2 linked regions of the Medicago truncatula genome follow. The protein of the gene in region 1 interacts with the protein of each later gene in a pairwise test. Links are inferred from orthologs where the notes say so. Each region holds a gene or a part of one and is shown on either strand. Other genes may lie near its edges. The genes, in order: cell division cycle 5-like protein and pre-mRNA-splicing factor SPF27 homolog.

The links.
Region 2: the proteins of cell division cycle 5-like protein (region 1) and pre-mRNA-splicing factor SPF27 homolog interact in binary tests that used the Arabidopsis thaliana proteins (3 or more experiments, as listed by UniProt). The link is inferred for Medicago truncatula from reciprocal best matches to the Arabidopsis thaliana genes CDC5 and MOS4.

Annotation. Positions count from the first base shown.
Region 1 is NC_053048.1:54,778,215-54,789,036, reverse strand, and holds the start of cell division cycle 5-like protein, read right to left. Parts: upstream 4,614-10,822; 5' UTR 4,465-4,613; intron 4,164-4,464; 5' UTR 4,128-4,163; intron 4,029-4,127; 5' UTR 3,953-4,028; coding exon 2,060-3,952; intron 1,136-2,059; coding exon 854-1,135; intron 1-853. Other genes in the region: protein PHR1-LIKE 1, read right to left, coding at 8,819-9,172, 9,242-9,311, 9,465-9,522, 10,314-10,353, 10,470-10,546, 10,634-10,811. UniProt on the Arabidopsis thaliana protein: Component of the MAC complex that probably regulates defense responses through transcriptional control and thereby is essential for plant innate immunity. Possesses a sequence specific DNA sequence 'CTCAGCG' binding activity.
Region 2 is NC_053049.1:49,194,217-49,205,079, forward strand, and holds the start of pre-mRNA-splicing factor SPF27 homolog, read right to left. Parts: upstream 5,062-10,863; 5' UTR 4,986-5,061; coding exon 4,722-4,985; intron 4,632-4,721; coding exon 4,456-4,631; intron 4,368-4,455; coding exon 4,284-4,367; intron 3,761-4,283; exon of another isoform or gene 3,668-3,760; intron 2,959-3,667; exon of another isoform or gene 2,868-2,958; intron 2,152-2,867; exon of another isoform or gene 2,061-2,151; intron 1,345-2,060; exon of another isoform or gene 1,254-1,344; intron 568-1,253; exon of another isoform or gene 476-567; intron 1-475. UniProt on the Arabidopsis thaliana protein: Component of the MAC complex that probably regulates defense responses through transcriptional control and thereby is essential for plant innate immunity. Involved in mRNA splicing.

The sequences.
Region 1 (10,822 bases):
CAATTCTCCCACAGCCTTAAGTAAACCCCATGACCACTACGACCTCAACTAAAAAATCAAGTCTGTTTTTTTTGGCAGGACATATTATTGTATAATTTTAACACTAGCCTGTGTTATACTGTACAACAATGGATACATTAAAAATTGATGTCTTTAACAAAAATAATCTTTATTAAAGAATATACTATAGATATATTACCCATATCCATGTAAGCTATAGCACTACGATGCCGCTATTTGACAACACTATTTCATGAGACTACACACCAAATTCTAATCAAGCTGATCCTCCATCCTTAAAACTTAAGCTATTGGATCAGATTAACACAAGACTACGCTTGCACCATACATTACATGAAGTCAACATATTATGTTAACTTTTTCTATCATCCATTATATGCCATGGGAATGCCAAACAAGGTCGAAAGAAACTACAATGTCAAACATCAATCTCAAAAAACAAAATGAACTGAAACCATACTTTCTGTGCATTTCTAAAATTACAAAGAAAATACATGTCACCGGTCACCCACGATAATGAAATGCAATTCCAACAGATCTCCATGATCTCCTACCCTACTGATTAGTTGAGGTCCAAAAATTATCAATTGCAACAGTTTTAAGTTAGGTGTATAGCATTTTATATTACAAAATCAACTTTGAAGAGCATTCAGACAACATTAACACTCTAGAATCTCAGTAAGATTGATGCAAACTAACTGCTCATGAAAGAAAATGAAAGCCGGTAACCAGCTGGCATGACAACTACAAAATGTGCCACCAACAATAATTGAAAAAAACACGGCAAGAAACAAAAATGTAGAAATTTGCATACAAGTTAGCAGTAGCATACCTCATACCCTTGCGTGAATGTTGTAACCTTCTTCTCAAGTCGAATCAACTTCTCCTTCCCGTCATCCAGCTTACTTCTCACATTCTCAAATTCATTCTGCAAAGCTGCTAGCTTCTCTGCATTTCCAGCAACACTTGATAGACCATAAGCGTTACGGGTATCAAAGTACATTAAATCATTAATGCAAGTTGTATGTGCTTCAACAAATTCCTCGAGGGAATCATTTTCATGCCCCATTGCCTCACGAAGATACTGGGCTTCATCTTTTATCAATTGATCAGCCTATTGAGAAAAACAGATAAATAAATAACATTCAACGCAGATATTATCATTCATCAACGTACAAGCTCATCTCCAATTATACCATAGTCATATTTAAGGAGTCAAATAATAATTAACAAGCAGTTTGGAAGTTTATATTACTATCATTTGGTGAATTAACATATGGGTCTTGTTAAAAAGTGCCCCCAGGGCACTCTTTAAGCATTCTAATTCAAGAAATTATCCACTAATAAGGTTAATTGTTTCATTTTCCAATGCATTAAATACAATAATTCTCATAAAAATTTACTATTTAAAGGTCTTAAAGAGTGCCCCAGGGGCACTCGTTAACATTTCCCTTAACATAAATAGGGAATAAATGTTGTAAAAGGTAATTGAAGAATCACTTGTGACAAAAATGAAAGTGGAAGGTGGAACTTGGGGAATCACGACTGAATCAGGAGGGGAATTATCTGAATTCACAAAAGAAGAAATGGAGAACAATTACGAGAAACTAAAACCAACTTCAACCTAATTAATCAAATGATTATAACTGGAAAAAAAAAAAAAAAAAAAACAAGGATGATACAATACATATTACATGCCACCACATTATGCAACTAGTTCAAAAAGGAGATGATACATAAATTAAAAAGATGTCCAAATTTTTTCTATTTAAATTTTACATAAGATTCCAGTGGTTTCGAAGGGGTGAAAAGGGGTTTCAGCATAAAATCGATAATGGCAAGTAATAATTGGACAAAGTACTAATAATTTCAAGGTCAAGATCATCAGAAAAAGCATGTGTATCATCTAAATGAAAAATCACATTGTGTACCAAAGGGTGAAAAGGTGAACAAGCTACTTAGTAGCAAATAAAGAAAAGCAAAGTAAAAGGCATAAAAACAAAATTAAAGGTGAGCAGAAAAATTAGTAAAAACATACAGATTTCATCTCGTCCTCCTGATAATCTTCTATGACAGGGATAGCAGGCCCATTTGCTGCTCGTTTGGATCCTTTCTTTCTCTCCTTATTTGCTATCTCTTCAAGCGGATACTTAGCATTGTCATGCTCAAGTAAGGCTAGAAGCTCCTTTCTTATCATCTCGTCGGCTTGCTCAATAGGGGTTGGTGGAACAAATGAACTTTTGTCTCCGTCAGCTCTTATCAAGGAGTTCCTAATAAGCTCCAGAGATGCTGGAGGAGGCCTAGGAAGTTCCCTTTGAAGGACTTTTGATCGTTTTCTAAGTAATGCCTGCTGCCGCGCCTCTTCTTCTGCCTTTTCTCTAGCCATTCTATCAGACATATCCTCTTCAATCTTCTCCTCGGGCTCTTCAACATCTTCTTGAATTGGTTGCATCACTATCTGGTACTCATTTTTAGGCTGTGGAAGGCTGCTTAAACCAGAGCGCAGACTTTTTTTCATATCAGCTTGTCTCCGTAGCTCGAGCTTAGCACTATCACGCATCTCCATATCTTCATTGATATGTAGCTCATCCCTGAGAGGAGTTCCCTTCGGAGTCATGCCAAAAGAAAAACCATCCCTTGCCGGTGTCATACCACTTCTGGGAGTAAGGCCTGCACTTCCCGGGGTTGCAGAGGGAGTCAGCAGCGGGTTTGGAGTGTGAATTTCCTTTTTCTTAGGAGTGACCCCAGAGAAATCTGAAGGATGCAACTCCGGGTTTTCTCCTCCTAAAAGTGGTGTCTGAGACTCCCTCAGCCTGGCCAAATTTTCAGCTTCCATCATGATAGCATCTCCTTTACTAGCTGGTGTTCTCTGAGGAGTTCTTAAAGGAGTCTTGGCTTGGTTGGGTGTCTGTGGATAATTAGGGAGAAGAGCACGGGTAGCACTGCTACCTTCGGTGAGTTCCTCGCTGCCCACAAGGTCACTGGCATAACCCAACTTGGCAATTTCATCCAATTCTTGATCGGAAATCTGAGGCGGTGGAAGCATCAGTTTTGATCTCTTTCTAACTGTTTCTGGGTCATTCAGCTTGTTGGCATGCAGAATAGCAGCTGGGGCATCTTGCCTCTCTGCAATTTTATTCCTTGCAACGTCTTGCTTTCTCAACTGTGCCTCAACATCAATCCTTCTTTTCCCCTCAAGTTCTTCAATAGTAGTAGGGAATGCAGGCTGCTCCACCTCCCTATCCTCATCAGCAACATCAAAATAACCCGGAGGAGGCCTCTTCTCAAACGGAATTTCTGCATTATAATCAATCCCTCTCCTTTTCCTCCTCCGCTGCCTTATATCAATCCCAGCAGCCTTCAGTTCTCTCTTTTTCTGTAAAGAAGCGAGCCTCCTTGCTTCCTCAAGCTGTTTCTCCCTAGCTTTCCTTTTTGCTTTTTTACCTTTCGTGTTAGCCAACCGAGCACGTGCTTCGGAAAGCATCTCCTTCTCGTCCTCATCCATATCAACAGGATCAGGTCGTGCAGGCTTCGATTCAGGATTCGGATCAATCTCCCCCGGACGCAATTTCCTAGGGTCATCACCAGGTTCATAGTTATCATCCTTAACACAAGCGGTGTCAAGGAGTTTCTCATACCGTTCAAGACACTGCGAAGGAGTACGACCAACAATGGGAGCAATGGTTCTCCACTGAGTAGGCATAAGCTTAGCAAGATGAAGTAGCTTCTCATCCTCTTCTCGAGTCCACTCAGTCTTCTTAATGGAAGGATCTAACCACTCATACCAACGAGCTTTACACTGTTTTGCAGATTTGCGAACAAGTAGGGACGAGATACGAGCCCACTGATTTTTACCATATTTCATAACAGCAGCTTTCAGGATTTCATCCTCGGTGTTTTTCCAAACACCTCCCTTAATCATAATCCTCATTTTGGCAACACTTTATTTGTATTCCTCTCACAAAACAGGTTGAACAGGAAAAACTCCGGTGGAGAAGACTCGTTTACTGCAACAGGAAGAAATATATAAACAGAAATCAATTATAATTGCTGAAAATCACGAAATTGGTAGAAAACACAAATTGAGAGAAGCGAGAAAATGATACCTGCGGTTTGGAGACGGTGGTGAATGCGTCAAAGAGCTGAAAAATTAACAAACATGATCCAATTAAGGGTTGGTTTGGAACAAGAAAAATGAATGGTATATAACTACCGCAACCAATCTGAAATTATCAACAATGACAATATGCAATTCCAAAAATCAAGTTCTGGGTCGGCCAAATTTAGGGTGAGCGGAAGAGAGGGAAGAGAAAACCCTAGAAAATCAATTGTAGTGGCTGAAAATCGCGTAATGTGCAGAAACAGGGAAATCAATGAATTATAAGAGGTTAAAATCGTAAAATACGTAGAAAACACAAATTGAGGGAAGCAAGGGATTGATACCTGCGGTTTGATGACAGCGGCGATAGATCTGAAGACGACGATGCGGCGGTGAATGAGAATGTGAGAGCGCGAGATAGAAAACTAGGGTTCTGATAAGAGAGTAAGGCCCTGTTTGGTTTGGTTTCACGGTGGAGAGTCCTATTTTTGTATTTTCATAAGAGTATTGTTGTTGACATATTTGGTTTAGCTGATAAACACGAGTAAATTACTCAAATACCCTTCGGCACTTAACTGCCGAAATTTAAAAAAACTGGCTGCATTTAATGTCGAGTAAAACTTCGTCAGTTAACTGCGGAGGAATTTCAAACCTGAAATTAAATAAGGAAATACACCTAAATTTTCCTTAATTCAATTTAATTCTTTAAACATTTTAAGGAATTAAACATAATTATTTTTATGATTTCATTCATATGATTTTGTTGTCATAAATGAAGAAATATGAGAGATGAATAATATCTACATTCGGTAATTAATGGACCTAATAAGTGTAAAAATTAAGCATTTGAATATTGTTTTGCAAATTACTTAAATAAAAAAAAAATCTTTGTGCACAATTATTTTAATGTAGAAAATATAACAATATATTATACCTTAAAAAAAATCGTTGTGCACAATTATTTTAACGATTTTTTATTATTATTTTTATTTAAGTAATGTGCAAAACAATATTTAAATGCTTAATTTTTACACTGATTTAAATGTTATTCTTAATAAGATATATACACATAAGTATAATACTGCAATTGTTTTAAACATACCAAAATAATGATTGAAACATTCAAAATCAATAAATATTATTAATGACAATTTATGGTTTTTGTCAAAAAAAAAAAACAGGTTTGAGGTTTCCTCGGCAGTTAACTGCTGAAGTTTTCATTTTTCCTCGGTGGTTTACTGCCGAAGTTTTCCTCGGGAGTTAACTGCAGCCGGTTCCATAATTCGGCAGTTAACTGCCGAGGGGCATTTGGATAAATTACCAGTGTTTCTCAGCCAATGGCGATGTGTCAACAACAATTCTCTTTTCATAATGTAACAAACTATATTATTTTTTTCAACGACGCAAATATTTTTTTTTTAAAGGAAAATAATATTTGTTTTATTAAGTAACACACAAACAATATAATAAATATTATATTCTTTAAAAAAAACAAATATTATATAAAATCTTCTTAAAAATAATATTATATAAAAAATTTATCTTTATGAATGATACCAACAAAATAGCATTCTTGTATACAAATTTGTTTAAAAGTATAATTAAAAATGAAAAGATCATCTGAGATTTTTTTTTTTTGACAAAATAAAAGATATTCATTCATTCATTCAAATTGATAGAGTACATCGATATAATGTAAATTCGCTAAAAACATCAAGGATGAATATGTGAACAGACTCACAACATCCATGTTAATAGCATAAAACGGCAAAGTACAAATGCCTACACATATGACTATATTTAAATCTTCGGAATAACCATGTCTCCAGATCTGCAACATGGATGCCGCCGAAGTCATCGATTGGATCTGCACTGGATCGAAACTGATCTGACAATCTGAACCGATCAAATACCTGAGAGAAACAAGAAAAACAAACAACGTCGCACAAAGACGACGAACAAACCAACGTCGCACGAAGACAACGAAATCACAAAATAAAAAACGAAATAGATGTGAAAATCACTTATTTCAATAAAAGGGAAAGAGAAAAACGAGATAGAGGGGTGATTTTGGGTCAAAAATTGACCATAAATCACCCCTCTTTGGTGGATGAAGGAGAAGAAATTAGGGTTTTCGTGACGGCTCACAGGAGATAAAGAGAAAAGAAGATCATCCAAAGAATTATTCTTCTTCTTTATATTAGTATAGAGGAAGCCCCTGATATGGTCCTTAATATTAGGGGTTCACCATGATCCTCTCAAAATTACCTTCAATAGCATGTTTCAATAAAAAATACCTTTTCTTGGTCCCACACAAAAAAACATCATTTTTTAACTGCAACAATTGATATTACTTTTGTGCCCTTCTTTTAACAACAAGAAACCATAAGTGCAAAACCTTTTCTCTTTCTTCATCGTCAGTATTCTCTCTTAATTCTCCATATTTTTCTTCTTCCCATTAACATCACAAAATCCAAGTATGAGAAAGTGATTCACAACAAATGCCTTAAAAACTAATAAATGAACAAAAACAAATTCTCCATTCTTTTTGTTGTCTTGATTTGAAGATGGGTCTGCACATTGTTGTTGTTGTTGATGGCTCCCAGGGTGAAAGGTTTATGAACCTAGAACACCGACATATGGCTCGGTGATGAAGGAATCATGTTTGTGAATCCTCATTATCATGGAATTGTTTCGATTCCTGTCAGGGCCGGCCCATAGCCCGTCGAGGCTGGGCGATGACACCGGGCCTCCAATTTTTTGCGGCCCAAAATATTTTTTTTTATATGTAAGACACGAAAATAATGATTATATATCTATTAAAAGCAAATTTAATCAATTTGTGCAGCTTGCCTTAGTGGCGTGGCTATTTTTTGTTGAGTGTGAGGTCATGTGTTCAAGATCCACCAAAGTGTGATTTTAAATTTATTTTTTTTAAATAACTTATTTATTTTTTTGGGCCCAGTTTTTTTTTTTTTTTGCATCTCTTATAAAATTAAAACCGGGCCTATGAATTTGTTAAGACGGCCCTGATTCCTGTAATATTCCACAAAAACAAATAAACAAACATCAAACACTAAACTTTCACAGTTATTAATCAAAGAAAAATAGCAAAACACAAGGTAAAATTAGAAGGGTATAAAATCAATTGAGAACATGGTCAATTCATGTATTTATCAAATAGAAGAAAACCGTGGAGTTATACAATTGATGAAGGTGAAAGAGAGGAGAGAAATTGTTCTACATTTCTGGATTTTTGGTGTTAAATGGAAGGACGCAAAAGTAATATCAATTGCTGTATTTTAAATCAATTTTTTTTCTGTGTGGGACCAAGAAATAATATCTTTTCTTAAAACATGCTATTAAAGGTAATTTTGAGAGGATCATGGGTGAACCCCTAATATTAAGGATCATTCTAGGGGGGCTCCCTAGTATAGATATTGTATTTTTTGATACAATTATTTATTAAAATTTAGCTTTCTTATAAACAAAATCCAAATTATAATAATCATATAAAAACAAAAAATTCACATTTCATCAATATTATAAGATCTTCTAAAAAATCAATATTATAAGATAGTTGCATAAAAACATATAGGATTCCTCTAAAATATGGGAAATTTTATGGTACACCTAAAAATTTGAATGTATTGGTATACCAAGTCCTTAAATTAATAGTTAAATGAGTTATTTTTTGAAGAAAAAAATAATATTCTCTATCACCTATAATTATAATAACTAAATCTTTTTTACCAAAAACATCGACGAAATAAATTTTAATTTTTCTGAATTGTGTGTGTGTTAAAAACAGTTCATGTAAAAAAGCAATAGAACACAAATTTATCCATGTAATTTTGCATTCTTCATATTTTGGTAATTTAGCATCGTAGTCGCACATAAAACAATGATGTGGACATAGAATCTTGCCACATGAATTTTCTTTCTTAACCTGCCAATTTTATTTTTTTGCCTAAAAAAATTGATCAACAAAAATACAAACTTTAGAAGTCAATAGATCATAAAAAAGTCTCTTAAACCTATTAGACCGGCCTACTAAAGTAAATATAAATAATATTTTATTGCTAATATTATTTTTATTATTAAACAAGTTTAACGTTACAAACCGGTTTATTTTTGAACTAGTTTTTAAAATTGATTTTAAAACACTCTCCGGCCCAAAATCCACTTTCCCACTTACTGTATCTCACAAACCAAAGAAGAAAAATAATCAAAGAGGGAGAAAGATAACTGAGCGAAAAGAAGAAAGAGGCCAAAGGAGATAAAGAGAAAGGCTGAAGGAGAGAGAGGTAGAGAGAAAGAAGAGGAAGAAAGAGATAAGGGAAAGAATGGGAACGGGCTGCATTCTCATCTACAAAGAAGAAAACAGAAAATCACCATTGAAAGGTTAGAGTCATCATGGAAATTCCTACATAAAACGAAACCCTCAAGCATGCTTGTCAGAAAAATAACCTTATAAAACGTAAATACCACATTAGTTGAAACATTCATGGATCCAATACTATATCTACAAGTTCCATGGGGTCTAAAACATGTCCAAGAATATAAAACAAATCTAGGGAGTGAAATTTATTTCATCCCAAAAAATGAAGTTTAAGTCATTGCTGGCTACTGTTAAAGTTGATTATATCATTATGATAAGCAGAAGGAGATATTCGAGCATGTTGTCTCTAGATGCCATCATTGAATCTTCGCTCGTTTTGTTGGAGGTACGTCAGAAAACTGATCATCTACCCTCTCATGTTCATTGGTAACTTCAGCTTCATCTGCCATTTGCTTTCTGCTTACATCATGGGAACTTTCTCCGGGTATGTCTTTAGGAATATCAGCGTTACATCCTGATTTATCGCATTCATCTTTTGAAGTTTTTAAATTGTCCACCGGAGAAGAAGGCAGCGTCGTGTCCAACACTGCAGCAGAAGGTGCATTTGAAGGGGAAGGGCCCTTGTTGTCACCAATCTGTTTCTGTTTCTCAAACATCATCTCAAGATGTTTCCCTTGGTTTTCAATTTGAATCTGCAACTTCCTTTGAATCTGTATAACAGTAACAATATCAGGACATGCCAAGACTTGAAGTTCCGGGTGATACTAACAATAATGTACCTCAAGTTGTTCGTGAAGCCGCTTCTGGAGTTCCATCTGCAACCGTAATGCTTCAGTGATTCCCTTACTCCTGTAACCATAATTCAAGGAAAGTTTATGAGCATTATTGTTCATTTCAATGAAGATTTTTTTTTCCCATGGAACAACCATCTACAATGGAATTGTGATTTGTGAACAACAGGTATCATGTCTAAAGCTAAAAGAAGTTAGAGAAATGACTCACGTTTTCAAGTCTAGAGATTTCATTTCCTCAATTGAACTCATCTTTTTCTCAGAAGTTTCTGCAGGTACAGAAGAAGATTTCAATCACCATTCACATTCTTACTCTTATATTTTGACAAAATTTGAAAGGAATTTTGTTAGGCCTACTGTTAGTAAACATTATTAGGCAGTTATTATTTTATTAGCCAGCCATTATTACATTAATATCTAACAGTTATGTATTAGGAAGCAGTTATGTTTCTAGGCAGTTACTAGATAAATAGGGAATCTGAAGGACAATGTCAATAGCAAGAGACCAAGCCCTCGAATTCTTGGAGGGAGAGACCAAGAATCTCGAATTCCTAAGCAGCCTATTGTGTAATCATATTCTATTATCAATAAAATTAAGTTATTTCTATTATATTTATGTGTTTGGTACCGGTTTCTATCAAGTTTCTGTGTGCATCAAATATTCTTCAAATGTAACAAGAATAGGGTGGAAAAAGCATTCTACACTTGCCTTTGAATGAGAGAAAGTAGATAAACTTTTGAAGTTTTAAATAAAGGAATAATTGGATTTTTACTTCTACACTTTTCTTTCTTCTCTACCTTTCCTTTTCACTTTAACAAATAAGAGATTGTTCCAAATTTTAAAATGATCTTTTGTGTTTCATCCATGTCTTCTTTTTATCAATCCCAACATAGGACATGAAGAAGAAGAAGAACACATACAAAAAAGACATTTGAAGTTGAAATAAAACATCTTTCTCAAAACTATAGGGGGATAAAGAAGCCACACATCCACAAAAAAAAATTGGTAGCAAAACCTGCTGTATAAAACAATAAGGATTACAAGTACACTCTTGTATACCTTCTGGTGACTCAGGTTTGTATCTGGCAGTTCTATACTTCTGAAATTAAAAGAACAATTAATTTATAAACAACATTAGATTATAAAAATCGACATACACACCAGTGACGACACCAACAAGCTCAATTTAAGAGGACGGAAAATCCATATATGTACCTGGAGGTGGCTTTTTACATGGTAGATAGTAAGGCCCTCAACATTCATTAGATTCAAGACACCTTTTGGAGTAGCCTCTGCATGTTAACATCATTAGATGATGAGAAGAAACGTTCATGAGAGAAGGTCAAACGAAGGATGAAATTAGGAAGAAGTAAACATACTCTCGCTACCACCAAGCTGGTTGACTGCTTCCACAAAAGCTTCGTGAAGTTCTGGACTCCAACGCATTCTAGGCTTAGTTTGAGATGCAGTTGATGCTGATGCTGAAGCTGAAGCAGGATTACAAAGATTGTTGACTTCTCCAGATGATGTATGCTGCTTCTGAGAAACATGCATCGCCTGCATCAGAA
Region 2 (10,863 bases), on another chromosome or scaffold:
AAAAAAAAAAAAAAATAGAACATTATCATTCCACCAACCAGCAGTTGCATACAACAACAACCAAAGCTGCAAGCTCAAGTACCATATTTACTGTGAAACATTCCTATCCGCAGCTTTAGTCAATTGCACTAGCGAAGAAATTTAAAACAGAAAGGAACAAAGTATTATATGTACAATTCAGTCATACAGAACAAACGCAGGTATGTCAGAATTTTCTTTAGCCAACATATGAAGTAAGCAAATGATGCACAGGTACAAAATAATTTACCACAGAGCACTGATCTCGTTTTTGTCACTAGATTTCTTCAAGAGAAAAAATATGAAGAATTTCAACCATGATTGACCTTGATTCAAGAGAAAAATAGGAGGAGATCATTGACCTTATTCATTAAAAAATAGAATGACCCATGATGTAGAATTTCAACCTTTTGAAAAAAGGAAAAAATAAAAACTTAGAAGAAAAAGGTGAATAAAACTGGCTCAGAAAACCCTAAACATGAAAGTAATCAATCTACTACCAAAGAAGTAAATGGTAGCGGTAAGACCGAACTTATATCATCATTGCCAGTTAAAGTAACATACTTTGTGTTTTGTTTGAAAAGGAAACTGAAAAATATGGATTGGTGCCTCTAGCGAACTTGGGGAGGCCAAAGTCAAGAACACATTTAATGAATCAAGGTTGAAACGATTAAGAAGAACGTAGAAATCAATGATTTCCTCAAGAGATTTCTTCTTCCGTAGCTAATAATGTCTTAAAATCCAAAAAAATTAAGTATAAAAATTAGAACATTATCATTCCACCAACCAGCAGTTGCATACAAAACCGACCAAGGCTGTCAAGCTCAAGTACCATATTTACTGTGAAACATTCCTATCCGCGGCTTAAGCCAATTGCTCTAGGGAAGAAATTTAAAACAGAAAAGAACAAAGTATTCTATGTGCAATTCAGTCATACAGAACAAACACAGGTATGTCAGAATTTTCTTTAGCTAACGTATAAGTAAGCAAATGATGTACAGATACAAAATAATTTACTGCAGAGCACTGATCTCATTTGTCACTGGATTTCTTCAAGAGAAAAATATGAAGAATTTCAACCAGGACTGACCTTGATTCAGGAGAAAAATAGAAGGAAATCATTGACTTTATTCATAAAAAAATAGAATGACCCATGATTGAAGACAAAGATGTAGAATTTCAACCTTGTTTTGAAAAAGGAAAATTAAAAACTTAGAAGAAAAAGGTGAATAAAACTGGCTCAGAAAACCCTAAACCTTAAAGTAATCAATCTACTACCAATACGTAAATGGCAGCCGTAAGACCGGCCTTTTATCATCATTGCCAGTTAAAGGAACAGACTTTGTATTTCGTTTGAAAATGAAAATGAAAAATATGGACCAGTGCCTCTAGTGAAGTTGGGGAGGCCAGAGTCAAGAACATATTTACTGAATCAAGGTTGGGACGATTAAGAAGGACGTGGAGGTCAATGATTTCCTTAAGAGATTTCTTCTGTTCTAGCTAATAAGGTCTTAAAGTCCAAAAAATTAATTAAATTAGAACATTATCATTCCACCAACCAGCAGGATATTGCATACAACAACCAAGGCTGTCATGCTCAAGTACCATATTTACTATGAAACATTCCTAACTGCAGAATCACTCCCAAGAACCAATTCAACAAAAAGCTTAAGCCAATTGCTCTAGGGAAGAAATTTAAAACAAAAAGGAACGAAGTATTCCATGTACAATTCAGTCATACAGAACCCAATGCAGGTATGTCAGAATTTTCTTTAGCTAACGTATAAGTAAGCAAATGATGCACAGATACAAAATAATTTACCGCAGAGCACTGATCTCATTTTTGTCACTGGATTTCTTCAAGAGAAAAATATGAAGAATTTCAACCATGACTGACCTTGATTCAGGAGAAAAATAGAAGGAAAGCATTGACCTTATTCATAAAAAAATAGAATGACCCATGATTGAAGACAAAGATGTAGAATTTCAACCTTGTTTTGAAAAGGGAAAATTAAAAACTTAGAATAAAAAGGTGAATAAAACTGGCTCAGAAAACCCTAAACCTGAAACTAATCAATCTACTACCAATAAGTAAATGGCAGCTGTAAGACCGGCCTTTTATCATCATTGCCAGTTAAAGGAACAGACTTTATATTTCGTTTGAAAATGAAAATGAAAAATATGGACCTGTGCCTCTAGTGAACTTGGGGAGGCCAGAGTCAAGAACATATTTATTGAATCAAGGTTGGGACAATTAAGAAGGACGTAGAGGTCAATGATTTCCTTAAGAGATTTATTCTGTTCTAGCTAATAAGGTCTTAAAGTCCAAAAAATTAATTAAATTAGAACATTATCATTCCACCAACCAGCAGGATATTGCATACAACAACCAAGGCTGTCATGCTCAAGTACCATATTTACTATGAAACATTCCTAACTGCAGAATCACTCTCAAGAACCAATTCAACAAAAAGCTTAAGCCGATTGCTCTAGGGAAGAAATTTAAAACAAAAAGGAACGAAGTATTCCATGTACAATTCAGTCATACAGAACCCAATGCAGGTATGTCAGAATTTTCTTTAGCTAACGTATAAGTAAGCAAATGATGTACAGATACAAAATAATTTACCGCAGAGCACTGATCTCATTTTTGTCACTGGATTTCTTCAAGAGAAAAATATGAAGAATTTCAACCATGACTGACCTTGATTCAGGAGAAAAATAGAAGGAAAGCATTGACCTTATTCATAAAAAAATAGAATGACCCACGATTGAAGACAAGGATGTAGAATTTCAACCTTGTTTTGAAAAGGGAAAATTAAAAACTTAGAATAAAAAAGTGAATAAAACTGGCTCAGAAAACCCTAAACCTTAAAGTAATCAATCTACTACCAATAAGTAAATGGCAGCCGTAAGACCGGCCTTTTATCATCATTGCCAGTTAAAGGAACAGACTTTGTATTTCGTTTGAAAATGAAAATAAAAAATATGGACCTGTGCCTCTAGTGAACTTGGGGAGGCCAGAGTCAAGAACATATTTATTGAATCAAGGTTGGGACGATTAAGAAGGACGTAGAGGTCAATGATTTCCTTAAGAGATTTCTTCTTTTCTAGCTAATAAGGTCTTAAAGTCCAAAAAATTAATTAAAATAGAACATTATGATTCCACCACCAGCAGGATATTGCATACAACAACCAAGGCTGTCATGCTCAAGTACCATATTTACTATGAAACATTCCTATCTGCAGAATCACTCTCAAGAACCAATTCAACAAAAAGCTTAAGCCGATTGCACTAGGGAAGAAATTTAAAACAGAAAGGAACGAAGTATTCTATGTACAATTTAGTCATACAGAACCTAATGCAGGTATGTCAGAATTTTCATTTGCAAATGTATGAAGTAAGCAAATGATGCGCAGGTACAAAATAATTTACCACAGAGCACTGATTGACCTTGATTTCTTCAAGAGAAAAATATGAAGAATTTCAACCATGATTGACCTTGATTCAGGAGGAAAATAGAAGGAAATCATTGACCTTATTCATTAAAAAATAGAGTGACCCATGATAGAAGACATAGATGTAGAAATTCAACCTTGTTTTGAAAAAAGGAAAAATTAAAAACTTATAAGAAAAAGATGAATAAAACAGGCTCAGAAAACCCTAAACATGAAAGTAATCAATCTACTACCAAAGAAGTAAATGGTAGCCGTAAGACCGGCATGTTTATCATCATTGCCAGCTGTGTTGTGTGTGGAAATGAAAATGAAAATGAAAAATATAGACTGGTGCCTTTAGTGAACTTGGAGAGGCTAGAGTCAAGAACGTATCTAATGAATCAAGGTTGAGACGATTAAGAGGGACGTAGAGGTCAACGATTTCCTCAAGAGATTTTCTTTCTTCTTTTGTAGCTAATAAAGTCTTAAAATCCAAAAACAAAAACGTTATCATTCCACCAACCAGTAGGGTATTGCATTGCATACAACATCCGAGGTTGTCATCTAAAGCCGTCAACCTCAAGTACCACATTTACTGAGAAACATTCCTATCCTATCCAAAGTGACTCTCAAGAACCAATTCAACAAAAAGCTTAATCTGAGGTATGTAAGAATGTTCATGTCATGTGCTAAGGTATGAAATAAGCAAAATTTGCACAGGTACAGGCAGAGAGTGAACAAAACATACTGAATCCACACAGCAACAAATGTAAAATTCAACAGTTTACTCTAAATATGAGCCACAATAATTGGATGAACAAACAAACCTTGACAAGTATACTTCCAATCGTTGATTGTGCTGTTTCCATGCATCAGGGCCATGTTTAAACAACAAATCCAAATTTTCCATTCTGCATATTAACTTAAATAGTTAGTTAAACAAGTTAATGATAATATGAATGTCAAAACATACTTATTAAAAACATATAAATTGAAGACCTGATGGTTTGATATTGAAGAAGTCGTTGAGCTCGTTGAATAGCAAGTTTCCAAGCAGTTTCATCGTTCCTTTTATTAACAGGTGGAGCTTCTAATTCATATCTGGACCTATCAAGAGAAACAGGAGGCCTACCAGCTCTTACACGCTCGTATTCTCTACCAATCATTGGATAATCCTGAAGCAACAATTTCAGATAATAGAATCGTAAATCTAAAAGAGAAAAAAAAAACAAAAACCCTAACGGAGAAAGAGTGTGGCTAATTACATGAAAATTGGAAGAGGGAAGAGGTGGAAAATCTTTAAGGAAATCCGCGGGTTTTTTGGAGCTGCGGCGCATCTCTTCTTCAACGAGACGGTCGACTTCGATCTTAACCCTTGGGTCGCTGTAATCGTCGTCGATGTAAGGCAATGCGTCGATGATTTCGGCATCGGAATGGCTAGACCTACCGTAAGAAGGTGGAGCTTCAAGCATCAGAACATCACCGTTGCTGTTGCTGTTGCTGCTGCTGCTTCTTCCTTCTCCCATCATGGTTTACTGTTGCGTCGATTTTTACCCTTTCGTTTATGGCATTTGATGAATGACGATTCAGTTTTAAAGCGAAAACCCTTTGAGAATTGCTGTTCCCAGGTTTAGATTGGTTGTGCCACACGAGTAAATTACTCAAATGCCCTTTGATAGCAATTAGGAAACCGGCGGCAGTTAACTGCCGAGGAATACTGAACCAGAACCAGAACCTTTCATTTCCAAAAAACCTTCTAAATTCTCAATTTCTCTCCAATCTTCACCAAATCCATTTTCACGAATTGCAAGCAAATCAAGTGCACATTATCACAAGTAAGTTGTGTCAATCATTTTAATGTTAATGTTAATTTGTTTAGGTTGATTTTTTTAAAAAAATTAGAGTAGTTTGTATGTGGTTAGGGTTGATTTCAAAATTGACAATTTGATGATTGCATGTGTAGTTTAGAAATTGATAATTGAATGTAGTTGTTGCCTATGTTGTTTAAATCTTAATGTGGCTTTGAATGGTGGCAAATGAACACAATTTGAATTTTTGCACACAAAGTGTTTGATAAAATGTCTCAATGACAATTTTATTGATTATTTAGTTAGTTTAGTTATGGAAATGATAGAAATGATGTTAATTATAGTTTGGTTAAGTGTATTTTGATTTTTTAGTTAGTTTAGGTTAGGAGAATTATGATGGACACAAATGATTTAGTTGTATAGAAATGATTAAGTGTATGTTAATTATTGAATGATGTTTAGGTTATTATGAAAATGATAGACATAAATTTTATTGTAATGATGATTATATTAAATGATTTTAGGTTATGGAAATGATGTTCATTGTTGTACTTTTAATGAGTTTAATTTTGTTTATGTTTAGTTTAGTTTAGGTTTAATGTGTTTGATTAGGTTATAGAAATGATGTTAATTTTTTTTTTTTTGTAGATATGGCTGATCAGGACCCCATTGATCCATCTAAGATGATTGGTGGTAGGCGTGCGATGACTCAGAGTCACCGGAGGGAGAGGCAGAGCGGCCACATCCCAAAAGGCTACACAGCCTGAGGAGTCACAAGTTGTTGACCCGTCACAGCCTGTTGACCAGACTGGTGTGGAGTACCTGAACTATCAGGATCAGGTACAGCATGATGTGACTGATGGTGGATATGACCAGGATCATATACCACAGCAGCAGGATGCAGGAGACGAGGATGACATTGCAGCAGCTGCTGCACCGGAGGTGTTACCTGTGGACCCTCCCTTTCCTGGTGGACCGGCTGACTTGTCCTTGCTCCACACTTATGTCGGTCATGTGGCGTTGCCACTCTGGTATAATTCAAATAATGTAAGTGTATTTTTTTTAATTGTTTTTTCTTTATGTTAAAATATTTTCTTTAATTTAAATGTGTGTTTGTTTAATTATTATATCCACTTTTATATGTGTTTTTTTTTAATTCTATTTTTTATGTTTAATTATTTTCTTTAAATGTGTGTTTGTTTAATTATTATATACACTTTTATATCTTATTTTGTTTTCAAATTTATTTATTCCAAATGCAATTTTATTCTAAATACCATAATGTCAAACAAAATGTGCGCGACACAAAAATAAAACATAAAAAAATCCAAAACAATTAGGCATTAAAAGTCATTACATTCATTCTTCCTCGTCACACAAATCAATCGGCTTGTCCGCTACAGTCCATGCGGTACCTTGTTTTGGTTGAGGACCGAAATAGCATGTCCTTCCGCTCCTCCCCAACCTCGAGTGATTGTACACTGGCACCTTCGAACCCTTCTTTTTTTCGGAACCATCGCAAACAATTTCATGCCACGTCATAGGTGATTTTTCTTTTTTCTTCTCATCACCGTGAACGTTACCCTGATTCTGATTCTGAGACATATCTACATTAAAAAAAAAATGGCGATCAATTCAACTTATACTAACCTAAACTATCCTAACAATTCTAACCATTCTAACCTAAACTATCCTAACATATCATAAAATCAACAAATCAATATAATCAAACCTATATAATCGAAATTTAACAAAAAATAACATACAATTCGACCACAAAGCAACAATGCAATAGGATTCAAAAAACTTACTTGTTTTTGTGATTGAAATTGGCTTGTAATGGCTTCAAATGACTCAAAATCGCACCTTGGATAATTCAAAACACAACAATGGAGTTTTGGAAACTCCTATGCAGTTCTGTTCTTATAACATTTTCCTCGGCAGTTAATTACCGAGGTTTTCCTCGGCAGTTAACTGCCGCCGGTTTCCTAAAAACTTCGGCAGTTTACTACCGAAGGGCATTTGAGTAATTTACTCGTGTGGCACAGCCAAACCAAATGTGGGAACAACAATTCTCTCAAACCCTTTCTCTATCCTCGGTCTCTAGGTTAGTTAGAGACAACGTACCAAAAAACCCGAAACCCACCCGTTTATGTAATTTTTCAAAAGGTGAGAATTAGGGTACCCATGGAAGAATGATGGGTAATTTATTATAATCAATACACATTAGCCACATAAGCACATTTTTAAGTGGTATCCATGAACTATCTTGACCCCACCAACAAATTGCTCATTTTCATTGGTTGGTGGGTAAATTATCCATTATTCTTCAAAGGTAATCTATAAAAAACTTTTTCAAAAACAACCCATTTACTTCATAGAAAGTAAAATACGTTCTCCTTATATATTTCAAAAGAAATAAACATTTAAATTCATTTTGGTAATTACGGTACTCAAAATCATATTTTCAGTTGACATATCCGAACATAAATTATGATATGCCCAACTCTCTTTCAAAACACCACAATGGAACCAAACACATGCACAAATTGTTCTGGATGGGACCTGATCCGAAGGTCTCAAACCTCTCATGCGCACTCAAAGTTTTCAAATTTACCCATATTAAGATTATATAATATGAATCCGAAAACTCAAAAATTCATATGTTTCGTCATTATATTACCTTGGTTCCTAAAGAGTTCAGAATATGCAACTATAAAGAAGGCAACAATTTATTCTAATTGACTCTAAATTAAACACTGACAAATAAAAATATCAAAAATTAAATAATAAAAATACTCTAAAATTAGTGATTGATGAGGTATGAGCAAATAAAAGGTTAGAATATAAAAAAATTGGCTAAAATTTCTTTTAACAAAATTTTGTAAAGAAAGTTTCGTATAGCTTATCTTTGAATTTTAGACACCTCCTTTATTCACTCTAAAAAGATGAATATCTATCTACTAGACTATTGATAAGTGCTAGAAAGTTGTATTTTAAATGAATATTCAAAGCACTTTTATTACTTGTTTTGCAAGTTATTGAGGGAAAAGCCGAGAGATAAGTGATTATTACCCTTTTACGCTTTATTTATCTTACTTCACCCATTTGTGCAGGATTTGAACTCAATACATCAAACAAAGAGAAAAAATGGAGAAAAGTACAAATAGGCAGAAAAATGAAGTCACTCGCCTCCAACTCGCCATGGTGAGCAGCAAAAGCGAGCAGAACCTATTCAGTCGCCACCAACTCGCAATGGCGAGTAGGTTCGCCATGGCGAGTGAATTTACTCGCGAGGCGAGTTAGGGCGGCCTAAACTTCTCAAGGGTGACGTGGCTCAAACTTAATGGTGAAGAAACATCAACTCGCCATGGCGAATGGAGTTACTCGCGAGGCGAGTTGATGTAGATTAAGAATTCTATAAATAGCCCTTTTAATCATTTCATTGGGGATCTTAGTTTTTCTCATAGTTTTTAACTTGTAATACTTTTAGAGAGAGAGATAGGGATTGTTCTTCATAGAGTGAGAGTGATAGAAAGTGGATTCTTCCTCATTTGTTGAGAGATCACAAGTTTGTAATGAATCATTCTCTTTCAATTCATTTTTGCAAGGCTTCAATGACAAGGAGTAGCTAAATCTCCTTTGTTGGGATTAGAGGTACTTGATCTTAGCTAAACATGTAATCTTTTGATCTATAAATATATGGTTCTAGCATTTGATTTGATATTGATGTTATTCTTGCACTTTAATGCTTATGTTTGATTTAATTGTGATTGAGAAATACTTTTGAATCTAGGTTTAGAATAATCATCTATCAAAACATAAGTTCTAGACATTGAATTGATGTTTTGATAATCACCTTTTGTATCCAAACTTAAAGCTTTCTTATCATTCAATAGATTGAGAAATCATCGATTAAATGATAAGACCGACTCTTGAATCATTCAATAGTTTGAAACATCGACTATTGAATGGTACAATTGATCTCACAATATTGTTCGGACACGAATGGTGTTATCGAGGGTTACATGATAATATCAAAGAAAAACTAGAATCCATGTATGGTCATTAGGTTACGTGCGACGCTTGATTAAAGAACTCTAATCCTAACAAATTTTACGTTTTATTACTCTCAACTTTTACTCTTGCAACTTAGTTACTAAAACAAACAACAAATTATCTTTTACTCTTGCAACTGTTACAGTTTTTTTTTTGTTACACACCCTTATTAATTATTTACATTTTTTTTAAAATTTAATTGTTTATTTATCTCTCCATATAGAAGAAGTAGGTAAAGTATAAAATAGAGATGATCCTACCTTGCCGAACTTTGCTTAAAGAACAAAAACCCAGTATAAAAAAGATTTAGACGGATAGCTGTCAAAAGTCAAAACTCGAAAGCTTTATTTTAAGTTTAGCATGGCATATTAGCCTATATAAATGTCTATTTGTAGCGAAGATTTTAAAAGGAACATTTGAGTAAACATATATTTTCTTAAAAGACCAAGAATCTATAACAAGGTTCTCTACCTTGCAATTTTGTATACGATACTAAAAAAATTCGTACGAGACGTGCAAGATGAGATGAAAAATGCGTCTGAATTGGTAATTTGGATGAGTGAAGTTTTCCAAAAAAATAAATAAATAATATTGAGCAGGGTTCTCGTTCTCTCAATTTTTTTTTCACTGCTGTTTCAATAGAATAAGAAAGTCAATTTTTTTTTAGTTTTTTACTGTTGTTTCAATAGGAGATGAACCAATTTGTACACTTAGGGTGTGTTTGGTAAAAAAAAGCTATAAGCTAGCTGATAGCTGAAAAGCTAGCTTATAGCCGATGGTTGATAACTTATAGCTGAAAAGTTAGCTGATTAAAATTAAAAGTGTTTGGTAAAATTAGTTGTTGAAGTGACTATAAATATAAAATGACATAAAAGGACATGCTTGATTAATTTGTTTTAATATCATATATATAATTTTTATCACTTAACGCATTTATTTTTAAATATTTAAATATATTTCAAATTATTTTCATCTCCAAAATAATAAATGTATTTATGAATTCAATCGAATTTTTTTATTTAACAATTTTTATTTTATTTTTATGAATTTTATTTAACTAAACGTGCTTCACTATTTATTATAAATTTTATATAAAATTATATATTATATGAATTATGAGCAAAGTAAAAAAAAAAAAAAATAGTGGACAAGAAAATTTAAAAAGCCATACATGGTAAACATGGTTAGTTTAAGAAGATAGTGGGTAGTTTTTTTTTATTATAATAAAATAAAATAAAATTAAGAAAAGGTTAAAATGGGAAGAAAGTATAAAAAGCTACAAGCTATAAGCTAAAAAACTACTTGGATTAGCTTCTTAAAAAACGCTATAAGCTAGTGAGAAAAGCTTTTTACCAAACACATCTCATTTTATCAAAACAAGCTTATAAGCTAGTCCAACAAGCTATAAGCTAGCTTTTTTGTGTTACCAAACACACCCTTAGAATAAGAAAGACCAATTTATTTATATATAAAAATAAAACCAAAATCTCATAGTTTCCATATTTGGGAGATAAAAATGTTTTTTTTTCTTTGTCCCTTC